2 linked regions of the Oryzias latipes genome follow. The protein of the gene in region 2 interacts with the protein of the main gene of each other region in a pairwise test. Links are inferred from orthologs where the notes say so. Each region holds a gene or a part of one and is shown on either strand. Other genes may lie near its edges.

Evidence for each region.
Region 1: the proteins of ryanodine receptor 2 (region 2) and fkbp1b interact in binary tests that used the Homo sapiens proteins (3 or more experiments, as listed by UniProt). The link is inferred for Oryzias latipes from reciprocal best matches to the Homo sapiens genes RYR2 and FKBP1B.

The regions. Positions count from the first base shown.
Region 1 is NC_019882.2:3,010,067-3,014,326, reverse strand, and holds the start of fkbp1b (peptidyl-prolyl cis-trans isomerase FKBP1B), read right to left. Parts: upstream 2,897-4,260; 5' UTR 2,750-2,896; coding exon 2,713-2,749; intron 2,255-2,712; coding exon 2,207-2,254; intron 1-2,206. UniProt on the Homo sapiens protein: Has the potential to contribute to the immunosuppressive and toxic effects of FK506 and rapamycin. PPIases accelerate the folding of proteins. It catalyzes the cis-trans isomerization of proline imidic peptide bonds in oligopeptides.
Region 2 is NC_019877.2:17,236,763-17,240,402, forward strand, and holds part of ryanodine receptor 2, read right to left. Parts: coding exon 3,494-3,640; intron 2,884-3,493; coding exon 2,720-2,883; intron 2,006-2,719; coding exon 1,891-2,005; intron 1,814-1,890; coding exon 1,653-1,813; intron 1,555-1,652; coding exon 1,392-1,554; intron 1-1,391. UniProt on the Homo sapiens protein: Cytosolic calcium-activated calcium channel that mediates the release of Ca(2+) from the sarcoplasmic reticulum into the cytosol and thereby plays a key role in triggering cardiac muscle contraction. Aberrant channel activation can lead to cardiac arrhythmia.

The sequences.
Region 1 (4,260 bases), on a different chromosome or scaffold from region 2:
GAGGATTTGCCGTAGGGCGGGAGCAACGCTTCGCCACGCTGGGTTATTTTTACCTCCTTGTCTACTGTATTCCCTTCTGCTCCTCGTCTGCCAGCAGATTCCCCCCCAGGCATGAGCGTGAAGGAAATGGGATCTAGGGAAAGTCATCTTTCTGCCAGGCTTGTGTGTGATGCTGCGTCTCACAGCTGCAGAAAGCAGGTCCTAATCAGTCTGGATTTAAGGCTAAGTGGGAGAAGAAGTGTTTGGGAAACCACAAAAATAATCCTAGTCTGTCAATAATCCAGAAAAACTAAAATAATCTGAGGCTCATCTAATAATTGTGTAATAAAAAATTTGATTTTGTATCTTATCTGCCAGGCTGCATGGAGAAACCCCCAAAGAGCCTGTTGAGGAGCCCTAATCCCGGTTTGGGGTTTTGCATCAGTTTAACTCTAATCCTGAAGCAGAACCATGCAGCGAACACCAGCGACAGGAAAAGAAACCCGTCAAGTCCTGACATTCGGTGCTTCTATTTCTGGGTCACACATCTAGAGGCCTCAACTTCAGCATGTTTCCTGTTGAACTTCGGAGCGCCGGTCCGCGGCGAGCAGCTTGAGACGGCAGAAGTGCAGCTGTCAGAGCTGCCACTCAGCCAACGCATGCAGACGACGAGCCCAGGAGCTGCGCACAAGTCCTGCAGCAACCCCAAACTATGGGGGGAATCTATCAAATCCAAGAGATTAGGATTAAAGACATTCAAATCCTACAGGATTTCAGTTTAACTGAAGCAAGCTAATGGAGGCCCGCTCATTTCCCAGCATTCCCTGCAGTTTGATGCTTCTATAAATTGGTTTTTTCTAGCTACTGATTTAAAAACTTTTTGCAGAAAATGTGGATATAAATCAGAATACATGCTTGTTTCCATTCCTAATTTATACGAATATGCTTGTTTTGAACAAAAATGTCGTCATGCAAATTTTAAATTCTATGAGTTTTCTGTGTTATATAAAAACTGATCCATTTTTGTGTGCTTGGTTGCTTGTTTTTAATTGAAATTCCCCAACAATGGACCAAAAAGGCGGATGCCCCCGTTCCATCCATCCCAATACGACAACAAACAAAAAGAGCTACACAACTGAAACAACGGTTTTTCCACATCCGATTTCAAACAAGAGATCATTGAATTCTTTAGCTAACCCTTTACTTTCCAATTATTTTTACAGAATATATTTTAACAATTTCTTCAGCCTAATTCTGAATTTTGCTATTATTACCCCTAAAAAAATAAAACAAGAGACCGCTTAAAACAGACCCCTAAAAATACGACCAAAAAAAACTTTTATTTTATGTTTTCCCTTAGAATCAAATAAAAAAATGCACCAAAAAAAAAGTGAAACAGAAAGGCTTAATCCTTTCAGTCCTATAACCGCTGAGACCTTTTCTGACCTGATGTTCACTCTAGTCGATTACTACTCTCAACTCCCAGTCTAGAACAAAAAAAACAAATGATGAAGATCATGTGAATCCTAAAAACAAGGCCCAGAGAGACAAACGGATTAAATGCTGACATAATCTGAGATGTTATAACAGTTTCTTACTGCAGCCGCTCAATCCCAGCTCATTTCTGTGGTCACATCAGCTGATTTTCAAGCCATAAGAAAAAAGTTTTACCGATCCAAATCAGCTCCTAAACATACCAGACATGCAGAAAGCATTTGCATCCCCAAAACAGAAAGTCTTACCTAAATGATCAGATGGTTGACACATGTCCTGCAAACTGGGTTTTGTTTACTTTCAGTCTGACCTAGTTGCCTGCGCTGCCTAACCCTATAGGGGACAGACTATCTATGTCGGATTAGATGCCCTTAAGGTGCAAATGAAACCATTTTTTTAACTATTGTATTGCTAATAAAAATTCTCAACATCTTTTTATGTAAATATGGTAACATTTCGTGAAACCACAGGAGTATTTGACACGCATCCAGTTGCAATTTCCAATGCAGGTGTTTCCAACAGGCGTTACATTTAAATATGTCTAAATAGACCCATGCTGCTGGAAAAGTCTGGACTCATTGTGAGAGCAGACTACAGCGAGGTTGTGCTGCAGATATTATTCTAAGGAGGGCAAAATGAAATCAGATTTCCCTCCTCCAGCGTGGAGACAGGAAGGATGTCTGAATTCAGGATGGCTAGAAGATGAAGAGAGAGAAAAGGAGCAAGCAGTTACCTATGTAATGAACCACGCATGTTTGGCCTTTCTTTGGAAATGTTCGTCCTGTTAAAAGAAAAAAAATAACAAAAGTTATTGTTTGAATGTTTCTGAATTTCAAAGCACAAATCCTGTTTTTAAGCCTTTAGTCAAAATAAAACAATAGGTTTTTTTATATTCTCAGATTGGAACATGTTTTGTGTTTTCAACTAAATAAACTGCTGTTTTAACAGATAACAAAAGGTCTATACATTTTAATGTTGAAAGTGAACATGTGTGCAGAAATGTTGGAAAAAAGAAGCTTTTTGAATAAAGTTTAATCAAATTCTCTCGCTGAGCATTATGGGAGTTGCGATATTTACCCAAAAATGGCTGTAAATAAAGATTTATCTGCAGTATTTTTACTCTGAAATCCTCTTGTGAACTCTGAATCACATTCCTGAGGAACCGCTGAGCCCCAACACCGCCCTCCGCAGCGCTTCCACCCCGCATCAAACCACAACCAAGCGGGCACATTCACTCACCATCGCCGGGGGATATTGTTTCCACGACCACGCCCATAATTTCAAAAGTACAAAAAAAAAAATGTAATAGCAAAACAGGTTGAAAGACTCCTTCTATAGACAGTTACCCGCTTCAAGTCGGGATTTATGGATGGAAACCATGCATTCACAGACCACCGAGCCGCAGCTTCAGGCAGCCGAGTTATTTTTATCGCGAGATTATGAATTGACTACAACTGCTTCACCGTGATTTTAGACATCCGTAAAATACAGTCAATTTTTTTTTAAAGTTTTTTATTATTACTATTATATTTGTATTGGAAACCTACAGCTACACAGTTACCCCCTTTTATGCTTTTTTAAATTTTTATATTTTTATAAGGGAGAGAGAGAGAAAATAAGGCGTACTTTCAACTACATATCCCATGATGCACCAAAACAACATGTGAGTTTTGTTACCGGGTCATTCCCATAAGAACGACACATTTTTATGAGGGAAACTCAGAGAAGATGATGGGAATTAAACTTTTTAGTTATATTCCGGGTTTGTTGGTGCAGCTGAGATGATATTTTAAGGTAAGAAATCGCGGAAATTCTATCTTTTTAATGTTTCTTCCCCCCGTTAGTAGCTTGTGTTAGCTAGCCTAATGTCTTCTGTTCATAAAATTTATTTAACAAAAACTTAATATAGTAGTATTTACTGTAGTATAAACTGTTTTTTTAATACATTTCCTTTGTATTTCCCTAATTTGAAGTACCTCCCTTTTTTTATTTTTATTTTATTTTATTTTATTTTTTTGTAGCTTAGAAGTAAAGAAAATATATTTGGTTAGGGTGACCCCTTAGCAAAAGTTCATTCATAAGTACTAAAAGTATACTCAGGCAATACTAAGTGAGGCAGTACACTTGAAGTTTAATTTTATATACTACATTGTAAACTTAAAATATTTCAATTTAGACTGAAGACCTTATGTCACAATAGCTAAAAGTAGTAAACTTAAAGTTCACCTTTTAATTTTTATATTTTAATAATACTTGATAGAACGTGTAGTATAGTATACTTCCAACACTACACGTATGTAGTCAACAGAATACTTGCTATACCTCTATGATACTCAAGTATACTTACTAAATGAACTTCAAGTGTACTACTTTTAAGGGATGACCTGGCTAAACGTAGTACACTTGAATTTTACTTCATTGGTATTCTTGGGTATAAACACTTGAATTTTACTTAAACATTGCATATAGACTATGTACATGTGATATACTTATTACACTACGTGTACACAGATAGTACACTTGCTATGATTATACTCACGTGTACTTAGTCAAATAAACTTCAAGTGTGGCACTTTTGTTTTGCTGAGGGACGACCTAAAGTCTTGATGGCTAAAAGTGGTAAATGCCGCCTTGACCCACTCAACAAAAAGGTAATGCCATCAGTTCCTAATTGTGTTTTGTTAAGGTCATCCGGCATAAGCAGCTATAGGTGTTCGTCACCACAGCCTCAGCTCAGGCGGGGGGGGGGATTAAAGCAGGTACTTGGAAGGAGACGCAGGAGAGGCT
Region 2 (3,640 bases):
CGAAGGAGGAAGGCATAACATTTCACAGGTAAGTACAATATATTTTTTTCTTTTAATGCTGCAGGGGCTTCATTAATAGTACACATGTTGACATGCATGATGCTGCAGGGCCATTTATCAACATGCTGCATGATGTACGTATAATTTGCTGTCGACATGAATGTAAACTTTATTTTGTTAAACCTGTATACAGTATACTAGGACTAGGCTATTATAGTAATATCGATTTATACATTTCTGACTCAGTGACTGAACTTTTCTTGCAGGTTTCCAATGGATTCAGACTTAAGGAAAAAGCCTTAGCTGTCACAAGAGCTAACCCAGATGGATCACTTTGGTTACCAACTAGTAATACAGTCTGGCTATGTTCAAGAAATTTTGTGGAACCACATTTTGATAAGACTGGCCAAACTGTTGAAACCCGGCACCATACCATCTGTGTTATACCAAATTGATCACTCACATGAATCAGTAAATCTATTGTTTTTCTTGGTTTTTGTTTTTTTTCTTTTTTAGGGTAAATCTGTTTTTGACTTTTGGACTTCTTGTTGACTTATTGATTTATTATTATTATTATTTATTTTTATTTAATTATTGATTCATTGTTATCATTTATTATTATTATTGACTTACTATTGATGTATTATTATTATTATTATTAATTAATTATTATTATTGACTTATTATTGACTTATTGTTGGGCTTTTCTAAATAATTGAAATTACATGTCAAAGAGGTCTAAAACTTCTACATGTTTAAAAATTATTTTAAAAAATTCTTAGTAATAAATATTTTTATTTGTTAGTCCTGCAACTATGCATTTTTCATTAAAGTTTGAGCTTTTAAAGCTGACTGTTTCTCTTATTTACACAACAAAGGATGTATGTGTCTATATAAACTATATACATATATATTATATATTTATATATATGTATAAATGTACATAAATATTAATATATATAAATTATATAAAAGTTACTTAGATGCCACTAAAGGCCATAGAAAGCATTATCATGTGGGCGCCGACGACCTCACCAAGATGGCGTCGCGCTCCGCCACCGTCGGCCAGGCTTCCCAAGCGGGCGTGTCTCCTCTAGGGATATAACTCATTATATAACGTCATTTCTCTGAGTTGGACCAATCCAGGACCCATGGGAAAAGCCCAGATCACCAGATTGGTGTCACCACGGTCCTTCTCTGAAGCCAGGTATGGGGTTGGGCGATGTTAGGGAATCTTTACTTTTTCTTCTCATAAAGGGGTTCTGAACCACTCTTTGTCTGGCTTTTCACCCAAGATCTGTCTGCCATGGCCCTGGAATGGCAAAAGCCCCTGGTAGGGTCATCATTGACATCATTGCCCTAACAGGGCTTACCTGGTCAGGATGGCTTACCTGGAAGTAGGTGCTGAGCTCCTTCCCGTTGGCTGTAAAGCTTAGCAGACCAGTTGTAGTGTCCACCAGACATCCGATCTCTAAGCCGGTATTGTTCCTCCCTTGACCACCAGTGCTGCTGCTCTCTCCAGCCCACACCATGAAGCAGTTGCTGCGCTTTATACTGCAGAACAGGGTGGGTGGGTGGGTGGAGGAGGTTGAAGAGGTGGCATTACTCCGCTCAGTTTCAGGACAATCTCCTAGCTTTCTCATTCTACTCACCTTTCATGAACTTTTCCCTTCTCGTCTCCAAGGGTAACTGTGACAGTTCGGACCTTGTGGAGCTCAAAACCAGGATCGTACTGATGAAAATCAGAGGTCACCCATCCTACCCACACGCTGCTGGGCTCCTGACCCGGAAAGATCCGCACCGAATAGTAGTACTGCAGACAGAGACATGTGGTTATAGCCTTAGGGCTGCAAAAACACTTTCGATTTTTATTTAAAAGCCACTTCCTACCACAGACGTATGCAGGAGAAGCTCATAGCCCTCCCTGTCATCAGACCCCGCCTCCTCAGACAGATGAGCTGATTGATGGCTGCTGCTGTCTGTCTTGTTCCTCTTTAGAAGGAACCTGACAACAACCAAAGTAAAATGTAGTCTTTCACTCTCCAGATGGTGTTTTTTGTGTAAAGATCTCAAAACACAATATCTTGACACCACTATAACCTGACACAAGTTTGGGGAGACTTTTGTCTAAAGTTGTGAATTGTAAGTCTGAATATTTTTTCCAAAAGTCTGAAAAACAATTTTTATGTCTTATCTTTATCTGTTTAAGCAGTGCTGCTTCATTCCCAAAACAGTTTCTTGTCTTCAAAAGGTTCACAAATGAATGAAGAAATGCATCAAGGAGAAAAATAAATCAATAATTGAATCGAAATAGGATAATACCATTTGGATTTATGGTTAGGTTTATTTTACTTTAACATAAAAACCACCAAGTGGATCACAGTGGACAACTTACATGTGATGCCAGCAAAAATAATGAACCATGTCCAAGAAAACAACAGAGTTTTTTACATCTTGGCTAAAAACGACACAATCATAATGAACAGACCACTGGGAATTCTTTTACAATAGATCAACAGATGATTGGAGCAGGACTTTAATGGGTGAGCCAGTGTGTTAATAAGTGTTAATATAGCAACAATGCAGGCACAGTAAACATAAACATTAAGCTGGAGATTTTTTCTTTTTGGTTTCAGCCAGCGATCAGTCTGATCTCCAAAATCTTTTGCATTATAGTGAAACTGCATTGTTTGACATAATTAGATAAATTGCACATTACCTCTGTTTGACCTTGGACGACTTCTCTTGGTTGTAATCTTTGTGGTTGTTAAATTCATCTTTCTCTGGTCCACCAGGAACACTAGGAATGTTGGAAACACTGTGGCCATGGGACGACTTTATCAGGACTTCAAAGTCTGAGACGGTTTCAAAATCATCCAGCTCCTGCAGAAGAACACAAGGAGCTGCATCATGAGCATCATTTGGCTCGGGAAACAAGAGAACATTGGAGATCAGACACTGGAGAAGCCGATGCTACTCAGTTGCTGTTAACTGAAACTGTCCAAACTCTGTCAAAAAAAAAAAAAACCTGGAACAGAAATATGCAAAGATTATCTTCTGTAGAGGAATCAATCTTTTGCTTCAAAAAGAGCAGAAACCCTCTGATGTGAAGAGAGACAAATGTCCACTAAATCAGTGTACAACTACTAATTCAGCCTTTCTTCACTGTCCTAGACCTCTCCTAAAAAGAAACAAAGGTAGCCTACATCTCCCACTGGAGGGTTTGTTCTTCCAACTTTAGTTCTTACTTTTTACAGCAAGAAGCCACAATCTGTCAAAGGTAATTAATGACTGATAATGATCTCAGAATTCATAATGTCCTTCAACAGCTCCTTCCTTTTGACTCAATATTACTTTGAAAGCTTGGCTGTGATAACTGCTTTGGCTATGAGTTGTTACCACCCCATGACATCTCCAGATCCTCATAGGTTGGTAACAACTCCCCTCTTCAGGGAGGGGGGGGAGAACCTTTGATGGTTAGACTCTGGGTTACCTTCTTGGATGAGAAGAGGTTGCCACTGGCTCCAGATCTCCACTCAGCACACTCGATAGGCATGCTGAGTCTGTAGAAGGTGATATCCGTGTGGCTGTTTTGGGAGCCAAATGACCTCTGGGTGACCTTCAAGCAGGGACAACATTC